2 linked regions of the Arabidopsis thaliana genome follow. The protein of the gene in region 1 interacts with the protein of each later gene in a biochemical or structural test. Each region holds a gene or a part of one and is shown on either strand. Other genes may lie near its edges.

Region 1 (8,019 bases):
TCACATCGCATGTTTAAGACAAAGTAAAAACTGAGAAAGAAAGAGAGGGAATCGGAACATACGACGATGAGCTTGAAGAGGTTGGCCTCCTTAGGAGGAAGCGAAGCCCCCATTTTATTGCGCTACTGAGAGAGCTCGCGAAGACGAAGACGGAGAAGAAGAAGAAGAAGATGTTCTTCGCGAGTTCGATAGGGTGAGAGAGAGATAGAGGTGGCGTACTATCCGCTTCAACCCTACTGCGAAACAAAGAAAGGCACAACTCTCACAAGACAAAACCCAATAAGGGTATAAATAAATTAGGGTCTTGTCTTCAATCAATCTTCTTCGATCCTAACCATATCGGTACATGTTTCCGGTTTCAATTCGTTTGTCTGATATTACAAAACGGTTATTAAATTGGATAGAACCAAACCGGTTCAAAACTGGAGACATCTGAACCTAATTGACCAAATCAAATTTGTATTAACCGATCAAATTCATCGTCAATCGACACTAAAAAGTATCAAATCAAACCGACTTATTAATTGCAACCGATTACATCTCTCAATCGAATCCAAACCAGCATAAATAAATTCTAATTAGAAACATTCTTTCCGAACCAAGCAGACCGGATTATTTCAAATTTTTATCAGTAATAACATCCTACTCAAACCGAACAAACCGAGTATAACAAGAATTCTTGGAATTCCTTAAGAGATCATATGCAAAATGAAACAAGTTTGATCTAAAGACACTCTAAAGAAACGTTCCTATAAGCAAGTTCGATCTCTTCTTCAGTCATCTCAACGGTCATATCACTGTCATAGCCACAAGCAACCCGAGAGGTCGATTCATCTTCGCCCGGTTTTGCTAGCTCAGCTTCGTAGATCTTTTTCCACGACTTTGCTTGTTTGCAAACTTCTTCCTTTGATGCTGTTGAATTTTCCTTTTTAGAAGACGATTCCATCTTTCCAAGCTCCTTCACTACACGAGGGACAAAGCTCCATAGCTCTGTAACTGATCCAATGTCCTAAAATTAAGAACATTCGAGAATAAATTCAACCAATGATCTTCTCAAAGAAACTGATCAAAGTTTAACAAATCCAAAAATGTACACAGGCGGCAACTATTATTGTTCAGACTTCAGAGATATTAACCTGCTTCTGTTCAAGAGAATCTATGGCGTCTTGTAAGCAGGTTAAGACTCCTTCCGCAGCTATTCGCTTGATTTCGCCTGGTTCTGGCTGTTACAATGGCTTTAGAATAACGGAAACATACAATCAAGAAAACATGTCTTTTGAAAGAGCATATTAATTCCCTTACTTTTTCCTCCTGACTCTCAAGCCATGAGATGGTTTGACTTAGGTCATCCCTGGCCCATTTCTTCACCTCTGTAACAAAAAATGGCTCTTTCACAAGATTGCAAGCTGATCTATTCTGTGAACATATGGAAATAAACAGTCATAGACCATTGATTGGAGCAAAATACGGTTCGTTTTGGTTAACCAAATCATCAGATTTAAACATGCCTTGGATGAGGTAGATGGTGTTCCCCTTGTTTCTGTTTTTTTCTCTACTTGCTTCTCTGGTTTTTTAGACAGGTGTTCTCTCTTTTCTGAATACAATCAATTAAGGTTCACAGAGTCAACTAAACATCGGAGTGAAGCAGTGCAATAAGAAAAGCTTTTCTCTTGTCATAAACGTAAAAACAAGGTGATTTGATGAACCTCAGGATGGTTAAAACGGAGATTCTATCTAAAGCCTTTCCAATATAATTCTTTTTACCTCGATTAGCATCTTGGGGACTACTGCTTTTCCTCCATGGTTTTCCAGCATGCATAAGGTATTGCTCGATATCTACCAACTTCTTCTGCGCATAACACTCAGTTATCCACTCCTGGAGACAGTGAAATCATATAAAATATCAGCAAAAAGGAGAAATTCAAATCCGCACACAATCCCTTATAAGAAGAGTCAAAGAGGTAACCTTTGAGATAATTGTTCCACCATTTGTTTCAACTTGACGGAACTTTGGAGTGTTAGGAAAAGCACAAATCAACAAGGTAGAGCCAGCGTTCCAGTCAGGTTGATAGGTGGCTCCCATTGTCAAGGCTTGTGACCTCAGTGTACTCCTCTCAGGATTAACAAAGCCCGAAAGTACAAAAACAACGCCTTCCTGCATAGTTTAACCTTCAACTCAATCACAAAAGCATATAAACTAACATGACAGCTTAAGATAATTGAGTCTCAACAAGACCATGAAGACACACACAAACCATAAGTTTAGAGAATTCAGTGGTATTTGAACTTGGCTCGGCGTGTTCTGACTTGTTGGAAGGGGCATTTCTACTGTTGTGCTCTTCGGTTGGTCCTTCATCCTTAGGCTTCTTACAATGAGACTTACTCGGAGTAATCTCGGGATCCCTAGAACTCATCCAAGAAGGAAGATTTCGCTTCTGAGACATCTTGTCCTTTACAGTGGAGAGAATACTAACACAGCTTTCGTCCTACAAAGAAACACTATTATGAACCTAAGCCACTAGTTACTTGAAACTCCAGGAAAATATTGCTATTGCATCGCATCTAGCACAACACAAAGCCAGAGAGAAAACGGTGCAAATCTGCAAAAAATGTAAAACATTCCCTAAGAAAGACAAATCTTAATACAAACGAATGGTATAACCTTTTTTCAATTTCAACATAAAAAAATCAATGGACAATGGTTTTAACATAACTCAGTAGCACTGAATTTGAATTCGAGTTCAGATCAAATCACACTGGAAAATTGGAATTGAATACCAAAAAAAAAAAAAAAAAAAAAAAGAAGAAAGACATTGCAATTAACAGAACATCGCGAACTTCGCCATAAAACCCTCGAAAACTAAATCTACCCATGTAAATGAGCCAACACAGAGGAGAAGACTATAAACTTGAGAAGAAAGCGAGGAACCTTTAAGTGCTAGCGCTCCCCCCGTGGCTTCTCTTTGATCGAAATCATCAGAGACTATTCAATTTGTCAACATACAGTACAAAATCAGATCAAAATGACGGGTTTTCAATTTAACAAATGATTCAACTAGCAAAGGTGGACGTGCCGGAGTGGTTATCGGGCATGACTAGAAATCATGTGGGCTTTGCCCGCGCAGGTTCGAATCCTGCCGTTCACGCTTTTTTTTACCAATTTTTTGCTTTGACTCTTTCATTCGCGTTTTTACTCTTCTGCCCTTTTTTCTTTTTTTTTGGACATCAACTTGTCTGCCCTTTTAGGATTTCTAATGTTTCATTTTTACGGTGGAGGGGGTTTATGAATTAAAAGAAGTACAAAACCAAGGTCAAATTACCATTACTAAATCATTCCTCGTTTCAATCTTTTTTTCCTAAGTTAGCTCAGTCAAATCCTTCGTATACCTACAATGAGCTCGATGAATTAGACTTAATGCACTGGAGAAGCTAAAGCTTGCAAGGGGAGGAAACATCCTATTTCTTCTGAAATATATCGTATGCTTGTCCATATCATTGATGTCATGATGTGTCATGTCTCATATTCTCGTAACATCCGCAACACAAACCCATCATATATGCTTTTATCTTATCTTTCTCTCGTTGTGTTGTTGTTTTTGCTACAACACAATTCCAGGACTAAGTTTCTGAATATCAATGAGTCTAAACATGTCAAAATTAAACTACGTCTTCACTTTGTCTTTAACGTACCTTTCTTTGATGAAAAAATGAAAAAAAAGTTATAAAAAAAATAACGTACCCTTCTTTAACCGCAAACTGTTTTTGGACTTTTGAACCCATTTCCGAAATTTCAGGGCTTCTTTTCTTCAAAGTTACGTAGTACGTACTAATAATAAGCCATCGTCACGACTCACGTGGTTACTAAATAAGATATGCTTATAAAAGGATTCAATATATTCAATGGCTTTGGCACGTTCTGTCCTCGCTTGACTTAAGCCATGTTAATTTGACCGTTGTGTTGTCGTTGGTCTGTTCGACGCTATCAATATAAAAAAATGTGTTTTATTAGCTAAATTCAGTTGATTTATCATACTCTGTGCTTTCCCTCTCGCTCACTTTATATATATCGAAGAGTATTGAATCATCTTGATTTTCTTATTTCATTACCATTCAACATTAAATCATGTTGTCAAAATTTATTTCCAAAAAATGACATGAAACCTCGAGCAAACCCTTAAAAAAAAAAAGGTAGATAAGTTGATGTTAGTATATGATGATGAGGATGAATGAAAATAGATATTCCGCGCACTTATAAAAAAAGAAATACAATTACTGGCAGTAGAAGATACGAAGTCCACATCAGCTACCGGATAACTATCATAATGGATATGGAAAAGGACGTAAAAATAAATACCAAAGGAAACTTCATGAGCTTATCCTGTCTGTATGTACGAGAGCTGTTTTATTTGATGTCGACCGCATGAATATCCAAATGATCTATTGCATGTCTTCGTAACAATTTGATCCCTACCATTAATTAATATGCAAAATAATAATGCATATATGATGAAGACGTCGAGTGCCTAATAGAAAGATGCGGCGAGTCAAACTATCTTTTGAGACATATATACTGTTTAGCTATATATCTTTTCAAATGAACATTTTCCTATGTAATTGGCCAGCGTTTTCTGCGGTGCCAAAGCTCATATTCTCTCGATCATCTAACTGTAAACCTTATTACTTAGCTCTGGCAGATGTTATTATCTTTGCCGGTTTGCTTCGAGGCTTTGTGCTTCTAATTTAATCAAGTGTCGACATAATTGGAAAAAAAAACGAGTAAAATGCAAATAAATAACGATCACATATATAAAGAAGTAATTAAACTCTTTTGGCTAGTTATTTCGTGTGTTCTTCGTTTTTTTCCAATTTGCTTGGCGAATTTTCTTGTGAAGAAAATACTTGTTAAGAGATTTGAATAATTGAACGCGACCAAAGAAGAGTATGAGAATTGAAAATATCGACACGAACATTGATGAAGTGGGTCCAACACTCCCAGTACCAGTCTATTCGGGCTATTCCTATCTACGAAGAATCGGATTGCTTCCGTCGTTTATTGTTTAGATTTATCAAAGAGCCAGCCACCCGACGAATCACGACGACTCTTCTTCCCCCCTTTAAGGATGTTGACACCGTGTCGTTTTGTCACCTTATAGAGTTATAGTCATTCAGACGCCGTGCCGTTTTATCAGTTAGAGTTATTTTCTTCATGTTGAACCTTTTTTTGTCAGCCCGTTTTATCCCACGTTGAAGTTTCAATTAGCTTATTTTAAAAAATATTAGATCGGAGTATCTTTTGTCTAATTAACCAAAACTCCAAGTTACTACATTTATATGCAAATACATGAATGGGTCATAGTAATCACAAAACTATTGTTTTAATAAACCAAATATATGCGTTAAAGATGTTTACAGCTTTATACATATGGCGGACACTAGAACTAGTCCAACCTGCATGGAACATGCTACTAATTCCCTAAATATTGTATTATTCCGTATTCAATTTTGTACAGCTACGAAAAATAGAGTATTGTACATAAATGTCCATACGTTACAGATTAAATTAGTAAGCAAAAATGCTTTGATTAACGAGTATACGCTTTTGAGTACGGAGACAACATTTCGTTTCTTTATGTCACACGCGTTAAGAAGTTTAATAAAGATCATATATAATTACGACAAATATCTGTATATATTGTAGCTATATTTATAAAAACATATAACTTTGGTCATCGGTAATAGTTTAAAGATGTCGAGTATCAATACAGATTTAAATATGGCCGACCAAAGATAGACACACACATACAGACAACAACAAGCCAAATAAGAATCAAATAAATTTTTGTCAAAAAAAAGGGAAATTCTACAAGTGAAATTAGAGAAATTATCTAGAAGGATTTTAGAGGAAAGACTCCAAGGCATTAGTCTTTGAGCTGGATTTGGATTTCATTTTAATAAAACATAAATTAATCTTTAAACGCTATTATGTGCTTGGATTATGTACCACATAATGCGAAGGAAACATCTTTGTAGTTTTGCGTTCTTCATATAATAATATTTTGCCGTCGTGTATGTGTAGTATACATATATTCATCACTTTAGTATACAAGTTGCCACAAAGTTCTGTTGTTTATAATAAAACCAAAAAAAAAGAACAAGTTCTGTTGTTTATAATAAAACCAAAAAAAAAAAAAACAAGTTCTGTTGTTTGGAATTAGGAGATCGATTTAAATTTTTACAAAGCAAAAGGGTGTGTGTGGTCCGATTAATATTTTAGTATATGAGAAAAAGAAAGGGTGTGATCTAAATTATAGATTCAGAAGGTCCATTCAAAAAGTACAGTCTTTTATGTGTAGGTTTTAAGTTTTTTCATTATTCTTAAACGAACAAATGATAGATTAATTTTATTCTGTTTTTTGTTGTGCGCACTAGTAAGTGTATACTCTATAGCATTAGATAGAAAACAGAGTAACATGTCAAAACAACATCCAAAATCTAAAATCAGTATTAGTCGAAAGGCCTAATTCGATATTCGGTAGTATATTTTACCGTCTATGTTTAGATATATAATCTGTTGTTGACTGGAATTCGAATGCTAAATTACTAAACCTGACCAGAAAAATATCAGGAGAAAATGAACTTGGATATGACATCCATCAACTTGTCCCAATTGGTCCAAAGTCTCCATCTTTAAATACAAGACACAACCATTAACCGTTTTTGCCCATACTAACTCAAATTCCGTTATCTTCATTTTATTTGATTTAAACTATAAAATATACAACACAAAAATTATATTAAAAAAAGAAAGAAACGATGAATGAATCAACAAGTTTTCTAGAAACACTTATCTTCAAATATCTATAAAGCGGCACACTCTCCTCTTTCCCATCATCATCATCATCTTCTTCAACCTTGTCTCGATCCAAAATTTCATCTTTTACCAAAACTATTACAATATCCCTCACTCTACTTGTAAAGCTTCAATCTTCTTCACTTCTCAACAAACAGATAAACAAAAAGCTTCAATCTTTGATACTTTCTCGATGGAACTTATCCCCAATCTTCCCGACGACGTTGCTCGCGAGTGTCTCCTTCGCTCCTCCTACCAACAGTTCCCTGTCATCGCCTCCGTTTGCAGAGCCTGGAACCGTGAAGTCTCTCTCTCTCAGTTTTTACATCAGCGAAAAGCTTCACGCCATAGCCAAGAGCTTCTTATTCTGTCTCAGGCTCGTGTCGACCCCGCTGGATCCGGAAAGATCATCGCTACGCCTGAATACCGGATCTCTGTTCTCGAATCCGGGTCGGGTCTTTGGACGGAGCTTCCTCCGATTCCTGGTCAAACCAAAGGACTTCCTCTGTTCTGCAGATTGGTTTCCGTTGGATCCGATCTTATTGTCTTGGGTGGGCTTGACCCGATTACGTGGCAGGCCCATGATTCGGTATTCGTCTTCAGTTTTCTCACTTCCAAATGGCGCGTGGGGGCAACCATGCCAGGTGTACGGAGGTCCTTCTTCGGATGCGCTTCGGATTCGGATCGGACGGTGCTGGTTGCGGGTGGACACAACGAAGAGAAATGTGCGCTTACGTCAGCTATGGTGTATGACGTGTCAGAAGACAAGTGGACGTTTTTGCCGGATATGGCGCGGGAACGAGACGAGTGCAAAGCGGTATTCCATGCTGGCAGATTCCACGTCATCGGTGGATATGCCACTGAGGAACAGGGGCAGTTTAGTAAAACAGCCGAATCGTTCGATGTGTCTACGTGGGAGTGGGGTCCACTTACGGAGGACTTCCTCGACGACACCGGCGATACCGTTAGCCCTCCGACCTGCGTCGCCGGTGGGGATTTGTACGCGTGCTGGGGTGGCGATGTGATGATGTTTCTAAATGACAAGTGGCAAAAGGTGGGCCAGATCCCTGCTGATGTGTACAATGTTACTTACGTAGCGGTGAGGCCCGGGATGCTGATTGTGATCGGCAACGGGAAGGCGTTGGCTGGATACGGTGAAGCCACCGTAG
Region 2 (9,184 bases), on another chromosome or scaffold:
GGTACGAAGGATCGTTTCGGTTTTACCGGCAATTACCGAGAGGAATTATGCGTTTAGTGTCAAAAGGTCGGAGCTTTTGCTCAGAGAAGATGGTGGATTCCGGCGAGACGTGCGGGCATTGGCCGGGAGGAGCAAGAAAAAGCTTGGAGGAGGTTCATCTGGTGGAAGGATAGAAGGAGATTCGGATATGAGGAAGCAGGTGAAGAGGAATGCTCGTGAAAAGTCGAAGAAGCTAGCGGAATCTTTGTTTTATAGATTGTATAATAACCCTGACAAGAGTCGGAGTCAGATTCTCAGTAGTCATCCGGATAAGTTTACTGAGGAGGAGCTTGAGATGATTGGGCTTGGTTACGATAGGATGGTTCGGTTTATGGATAAGGATGACCCGAGATTGCGTCATCCTTATGATTGGTTCAAGTATGGAGAGTTTGGACCTTACTCGTGGCGTGGTGTTGTGGTTGGTGATCCGGTTCGTGGTACTATCTCTGATGAGTGTGTTACTATGATTGGTGAAGTGGAGAATCATGAAGAGTTTGAGAAGATTGAGCAGCATGAGATGAATATAGCTTTTCAGAAGAGGGTTAAGGAGTTGGATTCGAATGTTGGTTTGAGGTATTTTTGGGTGTTTGTCAGGCATCCGAAATGGAGACTCAGTGAGTTACCGTGGGAGCAATGGACGTTGGTTAGTGAAGTGGTTGTGGAAGCGGATAAGAAGCAGAGGTTGGATAAGTGGAATTTGATGGGGAGATTAGGGAACAAGTCTCGGTCTTTGATATGTCAATGTGCGGCTTGGTTTAGACCTGATATTGTGTATGTGAAGAAGCCTGTGTTTCAGTGTAGGTTTGAGCCTCAAGAAGATTTCTTTAACTCGCTTATCCCTTATTTAAACCCGGTGACGGAATCTGGATTTGTGTGTGAAGTGGAGGATGATGAAGGTAGAGTGGAGTTGAGTACTTATTACGGAGGATTGTGTAAGATGTTGAAGGTGAGACAGACAGCTTTCGTGGATGATGTGGTGAATGCTTATGAGAAGTTGAGTGATGAAAAGAAGTCCAGAGTGTTGAAGTTCTTGCTTGGAAACCACCCGAACGAGCTGTTGCATCCGTATACAAAAGAATGGAAAGCAAAGTTGGAGGAGATGGAGTTAGGGTGTGATGCTCCAGATGAAGATGAGGATGAGATTAGCATTAGTGGAAGCTCAGAGAAGGCTGAGTTCTCAGAATGGATTGAAGATGAAGCTGACAATGACGATGATGATGATGATGATGATGATGATGATGGTGAGGTGGAAGAAGTAGATGATGATGATAACATGGTTGTCGATGTGGAGGGAAACGTTGAAGAAGACAGTTTGGAAGATGAAATAGAGGAGTCGGATCCGGAAGAGGATGAGAGGTACTGGGAAGAGCAATTCAACAAAGCGACAAACAATGCGGAGCGGATGGAGAAGCTTGCGGAGATGAGTATGGTGGTGTCAGATAAGTTTTATGAGAAGCAGTTAAAGGCATTGGAGGAACGAGAAAAGGGAGAGATTGAAGGAGATGAGTTGGAAATGAGAGGTAAGAAGGCAAAAGTGAAGCCAGAAGAATGGAAGACAGTAGGATATGGAAGGTGGATGAAGAAGATAAAGAAGAGTAGGATTCCACCTGAGCTCTTTCTCCGTGCTGCTGTTAGGCCCTTTGTTTACAGAAACCTTGTCAAAGAGATTGTTCTGACAAGACACGCCATTTTGGAAGGCGAGATTGGTCAGAAGGAGTGATTTCATGTCTGAGTCTTCTGATTAAAGAGTGAAAAGGAGAGTGAATTTTTGATGTATGTTATTAGCATCATAAGAGATTTTAAACTTTCCCAATCCCATGTATGTAAATGAGTCGGAAATTTGAACTTTTTTTGTTATCAGTGGTTTGTTATGTTGACTTTGCAATCCTGCCTGTTCAAAGGAGTTTCTTTTTCCTGGTTCAATAAGCTCTAGTTGACGCTTAAATATCAGTAATATACAAAAAGAGTTAAAACACATACTAATACTTTGATCACAAAAGCACACTACTAGTTTTATCACAAAAGCTAGCTACTAGTTTCATCACAAAAAAAAAAGCAAAAGAAGTTGCAAACTGCAAACACAAGCACAAGACTGATACAGCTAAGTCCCTGGCGATGTACTTGAGGGGATAAAGTATTCCTCCGGGGTAAAAAACTTTAGCCCACTCGCCTGCAACCAAAGAAAGTAGTTGTCTATGAGGAAAGTCAGAAAAGTAAATAGGGTGACTTATAAAATAAAGGATGGGTATTGTCTGACGTTTGCAATAAATACCTGTGCAAATTTGATGTCAGCGTCGCTGTGATCCATTTTTCTTCCAGCTGCATCCCCAACGTAGAAGGATCTGATGAGCATAGCACAGATGTCAGTATCAACAACAAAAAATGTGCTAGTGGACTTAAACGGAGTGTTTAATCAGTAAGGCTGGTGGACAAATGAGTGTAATCTTCCAGCATTGCTAGAAGTTTCAGGTAAATTCAAGTTTTTAGGAGCAGGTGGGGAGAAAACTAACTTATCCATATCAATTGCAATTCCAGAGTTAAAATGCTTCTTCATGAGTTGCCACATTCCAGCCTTGGGTTTGCGGTAAAGGTCATCTTTACCACCTTTACCACCAGAACTTGAGACTCCACAGGCTATAAACACCTGTTTGCAGAACAAAACCATTTATAATCTTCACAGTATCAGCAACAATGTAGGGAATTGGCACTTTTAAGACTTTGAAAATTTGGGGTGTTAACTAATAAGAACAAGCAAGACAGAATCACTATTTTCTCTCTGATTATACCTATACGCCGGAACAAATCATTAAAGCCATATGAACTAAGTACAGAACAAGGCATTGAATACATCATAGTTTCTTATCATTACTCATAATAATAGCTAGGGTTTGTTGACACAGTGTTCTTGAATAGATACAATCACGTTCTTACTTATGAAAACGGAAGAGCACTTAACCTGAATGGGGACCTTCACGCGCTCGATAAAACTGTTGAGCCGTCCAATTTTCGAATCTACAGCAGCTTGCCGCTTGTTCTTCCATCGATCAATGTTGGATTCATTTGTGAAAATGACCTGTTGAACATTTAAAATCAGCTACTCTATAATCTATATAAACAATACTATTGAGTACCTAAGACTTAATTCTAGCTGAAAATAAAATACCAGCTTATAGCCTTGATCGTGCAGACTTTGCAGTTTCTCAGGAATGGAAGGATACATTAGGGACCATGCATCTGCCCCTACTCTGAGAAAGAAGGGAATATAAAACATTATGACACATTACAATGTTTCTCATTTTCCTTGAAAGACGAGGTTCGTGCATAACACCATTAAAAGGATAAACAAAAATTGCAGAAATGCAATCACTTGAGATAGAATGAAAAGCCCATATGTCCATAAAAACAGAGAACACACTAATATTATGGGTGACCAAAGAGCTACTTACATTTTCACAGATGTTTTTGCAAGGCATCCATCAAAGTCAAATGCAGCTATTTTTTCTGAATCATTAAGACCATCATCCTGTTAAAATGCAACAAAGGAACATACCATTAGGCCATAATATATTACCATCATGTACATCATATCTGAAGATGATTTCTCACCCGCTCAAGGAATATAACTGTCTCAAAAGCTTTCCATTTTGGTAATAGATTGGCATCCTGAGAAACAAGAAGATTAGCAGCCAGAAAAATAAAAGAACTCGAAAAAGGGATCAAATGCCAAAGCTACAAACTCCAAGAAGAATATTTAACACAGGAATACATGGCTTTAACCTACTAGACACTATAAGTGCTTACCCTGTACTTATCCTTCACATCAGACGCTGAAAGAGTGATTTCTGCTTCAACCTCGACCTGAGAAGTTGACTCACTCATGTTCACCTGCATAACACAATATTTTAAAATCATTAAGTATAATTTCTCCACAATGAAGAGTGGCTACCATTAGAAGGTATTCAATACTTATCATTGCTTGTATACCTTATGTGTTTTAGCCATCTGTTGTTTCGCTTTAGTTAGCGATTCATCTTCTTCCACCATCTCCCCAACCTTTATAAGAAACAATAAATTACAGGTCAAGGAATATTCCAGTTTAACAAAATTATAGTATAAAAAGATGTGATTATTGCTATTTATTAACCTCAGAATGTTTTCTTTTGTTTGTCTCCTCAGTTAGCTTAATTTTAGCTTCAGTGTCATCATTATCTTCATCCATCTTCTGCAATCCCGCAACGAAATGAAGTAAGAAGTTAGTTTAGACATAAATTCTAAAATTATTTTCTGGTTAAGACATGATAAAACTTTTAAACAGAATGCTTTCGCCAAAGAAAACAAATATTATGAAAAGGGGATTTGCTATTACATCTACCAAAGTCTGCTTCCCGCATTGTTGGACCAATTCCTTTAATGCATCCTGATCACCACTCTGTTTATAATTAAAAATAAATCAAATATAAAGATGTGTTAGCAGAAACAAGGAATACATACATGTTTGGGTGTTAATTTTGCACGACACTGACAACGATGTCATGCCAACCTGACAATAAATTAACTATATACCAACATCTATATTCCAAATAGCATCTGTTTCAAATGATCCTAGTTACCAGAAGATACATGAATAATCTAGAAGCTCTATCCCCTGAATCTTTAAATACAGACTAACCTGCAGTTCTGAAAATCCACCAATGTCCTCTACCGAAACAATTGGATCAGAGTCGACAGGAAAACAACCCAAGTGATGCCATTGTTTCATATCAAAGCCACGGAAGTTTCTGGTCACTAGCCCCAACCTCAGTTCCTTTGCAGCGATAGTCTGAGAGCACTTCTTGCATGTTGATCTGCTCGATTTCGCATACTCAGAAATAACTTTTGAAGAATCAGGAGAATTTTTCACATCCTTAGTCTTCTGCTCACTTATTTCATCTGATGCAGGCTTTTTACTCTCTTCATCCTCATCCTTAACCGATACAAGCAGTTAAAAGAAGTATTTCAGTCAAAAATCTACATCTAGGTTGGAAAATAAGACTGAAGTCTGCATATCATTTCTTCCTCGCATAAAAGAAGATTGTTGCTTCCAGAACTTACTTCTTTTGCAGGCTCGCCAGGTTGTTCCACCAATTTTGCAACAGGAGAATGTTTTCCTTTTTTGGTCTCCTCCGTTAGCTCATTATCAGCTATAGCTTCATCATCACCTTCATCCATCTTCTGGACATCCTGCCAGCAAAGGAAGTAAGAAGTTAGTTTCAAAAAGCCTGAAATGGTAAAGTTCTCTACATTTGCAGAAACAGACTATAATATTATGACAAGGGATATGGATAGTACATCTATCAAAGTTTTATCCTTCTTGTTTACTTCGGCCAAATACTTTAATTCCATCTGGTCACCTTTCTGTTGAGTATGACAAATGAATCAAATAAAAAAGATATTGTTAGCGAAGTTACCACATGTCATATGCAATCATCCAAAAGCTCTATACACTGAACTGAAAATTCCTAATATGTAAACAAAAACTAACCTCAAGCGATGAATATCCACCAATGTCCTCCACAGAATCAATTGGATGAAAATCAATGGGAAAACAACCCAAGTGATGCCATCTTGTTATATCAAATCCCCTGGAGTCTTCAGTAACCAGCCCCACTCTCAGATCCTTTGAAACGATTGTCTGAGAACACCTGTTGCATGATGATCTGCTCGATTTCGCATTATCAGCAATAACTTTTGAAGATGTTGCCGCCTTCGTAAGCCCCTTCGGCCCCATTATATGCTTTTTAGCCTTCCCCTTCTTCTCATCAGGCTGCTTTAAGTTTAAACCGATACAAGCAGTTAGGCAAAAGTAGATATGAGCAAATGAGACTAAAGAGCATCACTTTCCAAAGTCTTACTTTTTTTGCAGGTACTTTACCACATTGTTCCACCAATTTCGTCAAAGCATCTTGATCTTCTTTCTGTAACCATAAGCACAAGCGTTAACACAAATAACCGAAAGTGAAAAGCTTTAGACGAAAAAAAACCTAGGGAGTCCAAAATACAGAAATGTAAGGAAACCCTAACCTCTAAAGCGGATAAGCCTTGAATATCATCAACGGAAGCAATCGACTCAGAATCAGTCGGAAAACAATCGAAATGGTGCCACCTGGTCATGTCAACCCCGCCACGTCCTTTGCTAATCAACCCTAACCTAAGCGATTTCACAGCTATCTTGTTCGAACATGACCTACACGACGACCGATTCGACTTCGCGTACTCAGCAACCACCGGCATTGTTTTCGCCGTTGTTCTCAAAATGTGACAGGTGTTGTAGACGAGATACTGTGTTCTTTCTCGGAAAAAGAGAGTGGAGCGATTTATTATATAAAGAGGGAACTGGAAACGAAGAGACACGAAGGGGGCTACTGTAATCATATAGCCATTGGTGGGGAATCGAGAAAAAAGGTGATTAGGGTTCAGTTCACGTTCCCGCCATTCTCGAAAGTAGAGTCTGTCGGTAAATTGATGTCGGTCATAGGGGTATAAATGTAAAACACAAATATATGCGTTAGTTTGGGCCAAATCTCAGTGTCTCCTCTTTTCCTCTTTCATTGGGCTTATTTGGGCTTTAAAGGCCTAACAAGACACGTTTTTATAATACAGTTTTAAAAAAAAAAAACAGGTTTACTAGCATATTAAATAAAAATGAAACGAAATAAACAAAAAAAATTGTGACACATCTTCAACCAATCAAAACCGCTATAATCGTTTTTAGGTCTCTTCTCAGTTTTTCTTGTCGTTCTGTTGTCACCAAAGCATTATATAAAAGGGCTGATAGTATTTTTATAAAGGGTCTAGCTAGTTTAAGTTCAATATTTTAGAAAATATATAAAACTTACACGAAAATAAACATTATAAGAGCAAATTTATGTAAGAAGAAATTTGTCATGTCATCATATCTTTCGATTAAAAATGAGATTCTTTCGAAGAAGAATCTTAAAACTAAACCAAACAAAATGTTTGGAATCGACACCGTGATAGGAGGACGCGTACCACACCAAGTGTCCTCTTGCATGTCTTCAAGAGACATGGCAGTGCCACGTTCACTTCATGTCTTTTTCTGTAGCTGACTTTTTGTTTTCTGTTTATCCACTTGGTCTATAGAAACCAACAATGACCCATGTCCCCGATTCTCTGTCTTTAGTATTTTTTATATACAAACTATCAGAAGCCCCAATAAGGTCCGATAATTACCTCATAAAAAAAATCAAACACACAAAATTCTAACTAAAAAAGGTAAACTAACAAGCACCACACGTGGGTTGATCTTTATTGCAACCGTAGAGACATAACATATGAGTTTTTTTTGTTTTCATAACCATGTAAAACCAAACTCAGTCTGGATAACCAAAAACATGGTAAAAACATATAATTAATATCCAAAAACTATTTTTCTTCCTCGATTCTCATTACCTTTAGACCGGTTTTAGTTAGCTTTAAACTTCGGAACTTCGACGACGGTCGTGGCTAGTCCCCCAACCAGCAACGCCTGTACGAAGCTCAGCCGCAGCGACAAGAAACTCCGCTTGTTGGAGCGGACTCAAGACCTCCACCACACGTGTGATCGTTCTCAGTCGCAGATCATCAGTTCGGTGGACGATTTCTGCTAGCCGTCGGATCCTCTGGTCGGGATCTGACGATGTCCCCATGACAAGGTCACTCGCATCGTCTTGCCACTCCGACAACTCTTCCGTTATCGCATTCTCTTCCTTCACGGTCTCACATTGTAGCTCACTTACCGTCCTGCCTTTGACAAATGGAACCCTAAATATTAAATATTAAGTAATCAAAATATGTTTAGTTAGTCCATATGTTATTGTTTACACATTGAAAAAAAAGAAAGTAAAATAAGTGTTTTAATCTCTCAAATTTATTGTTATCCCTCAAATGTGTTTTTCACTTTCTAAAACATTTTTGGTAAGAAAAGTAAACAAATAAACATCGTATGTTCTAAACTAATCTACATATTTGATATCTCTAGGTGTAGGAGTGAACCTGTATTAGTTTTGGTAAACAATAACACGCGCAAATCACGATATTACTTCAATCAAATTACAACGTAACTTAAGGATATTTTATTAAATTAGATAAAAAAATCTTTACTAGTAGTTGTGATTAGTAAACAAAGTAGCTAATTAGGGGTTCGTGTAGAACCTGAACTGAGAAGGGGAGAGATCACTGAGATCACCGGTGCGAAAGCCACGAAGTATATCAACGATACGAGACTCAAATAAAATACTCGACTCAGTGTAAACCAGATGGAACAAGGTGGTTGGTCGCCAACCACCGACCCACTGAAGCGACCGTTCAAGAGCTGAAGCCCAAGGAGAAGCCATAACTTCGATGACGTCTTTATCCGTCGCAGCCCACTTGGCCCTGTGATATTCTCTAAAGTGTTCCATCACTCTGTCCACAGCCTCCCTTAACCGTTCCTCATCACCGGTAGCAGAGTTCCGGTGATGGTTTTGGGCGGAGCGGAGGTGGTTCAGGTGGTTTCGTAGCTGCTCGATCCATGACTGTTGGAATTTCTTGAAGCTTGCTATCGCTGTCTCTTGGCTCATATTTTGGGTCCTCCGTAGTGTTTGGGATGGTCGAACCAATTTTTATATTGTCTATATTATGCTTTTATATTATCTTTTTTTTGTTCACCGACTTTCTTATTGTATCAACGTTCACATTTTGATTTTTTTTCATTTTTTTCCTAAAATTCTAGAAATGCCTATCATTTATTGTCCGGTCAAAGATAAAGTAAAGTTTTATCGCTTTGTAGAATGTTTCAATCTCTTTTTAGGTGCCAAATTTTTGTAAACTGTATTTCTCAACTATTTCAGTTGACAATATAACATTGGCCGTTTTGTAATAAGAATGCAGGGGTAAAATGGCTGGTTTGGTCTCAGTTTGTCATAACCCATTACAAGTAGAACAAAACCGAGTCAATTCCCACTGATCCTGATAAAATAGAGGACTGCTTTTTGGCCCAAAATACAATGGACCCATCAGAGTATATTATCTGAAAATATTTGGTCGGTTGTGGAAATAAATAAATAAATAGAGGAATTGGTCATCAAAAAGTCAAAAATTAAGAAAAATTTTACAAGTCCATGATTCG

What was found. The genes of interacting proteins can lie anywhere in the genome.
Region 2: the proteins of ATXRCC1 (region 1) and AT3G14890 form a complex in vitro, tested with the Arabidopsis thaliana proteins (one study listed by BioGRID).

What each region holds. Positions count from the first base shown.
Region 1 is NC_003070.9:30,234,720-30,242,738, forward strand, and holds ATXRCC1 (BRCT domain-containing DNA repair protein), read right to left. Parts: upstream 3,817-8,019; 5' UTR 3,740-3,816; intron 3,147-3,739; exon of another isoform or gene 3,065-3,146; intron 3,053-3,064; exon of another isoform or gene 2,984-3,052; 5' UTR 2,930-2,983; exon of another isoform or gene 2,487-2,929; 5' UTR 2,445-2,486; coding exon 2,256-2,444; intron 2,156-2,255; coding exon 1,967-2,155; intron 1,877-1,966; coding exon 1,765-1,876; intron 1,670-1,764; coding exon of another isoform or gene 1,620-1,669; intron 1,595-1,619; coding exon 1,509-1,594; intron 1,417-1,508; coding exon 1,303-1,416; intron 1,224-1,302; coding exon 1,137-1,223; intron 1,010-1,136; coding exon 725-1,009; 3' UTR 501-724; downstream 1-500. Other genes in the region: EMB2753 (tetratricopeptide repeat (TPR)-containing protein), read right to left, coding at 63-113; AT1G80440 (Galactose oxidase/kelch repeat superfamily protein), read left to right, coding at 7,044-8,019. UniProt on the Arabidopsis thaliana protein: Corrects defective DNA strand-break repair and sister chromatid exchange following treatment with ionizing radiation and alkylating agents.
Region 2 is NC_003074.8:5,006,017-5,015,200, reverse strand, and holds AT3G14890 (phosphoesterase), read right to left. Parts: upstream 6,526-9,184; 5' UTR 6,451-6,525; coding exon 6,100-6,450; intron 5,994-6,099; coding exon 5,931-5,993; intron 5,843-5,930; coding exon 5,561-5,842; intron 5,434-5,560; coding exon 5,368-5,433; intron 5,260-5,367; coding exon 5,131-5,259; intron 5,003-5,130; coding exon 4,709-5,002; intron 4,469-4,708; coding exon 4,406-4,468; intron 4,262-4,405; coding exon 4,184-4,261; intron 4,093-4,183; coding exon 4,024-4,092; intron 3,925-4,023; coding exon 3,841-3,924; intron 3,703-3,840; coding exon 3,646-3,702; intron 3,563-3,645; coding exon 3,486-3,562; intron 3,285-3,485; coding exon 3,203-3,284; intron 3,113-3,202; coding exon 2,996-3,112; intron 2,684-2,995; coding exon 2,550-2,683; intron 2,382-2,549; coding exon 2,312-2,381; intron 2,210-2,311; coding exon 2,141-2,209; 3' UTR 1,936-2,140; downstream 1-1,935. Other genes in the region: EMB3120 (uncharacterized protein), read left to right, coding at 1-1,759; AT3G14880 (transcription factor-like protein), read right to left, coding at 7,512-7,839, 8,230-8,636. UniProt on the Arabidopsis thaliana protein: Nick-sensing 3'-phosphoesterase involved in a base excision repair pathway required for active DNA demethylation. The N-terminal DNA-binding domain binds specifically to gap sites and sharply bends the target DNA.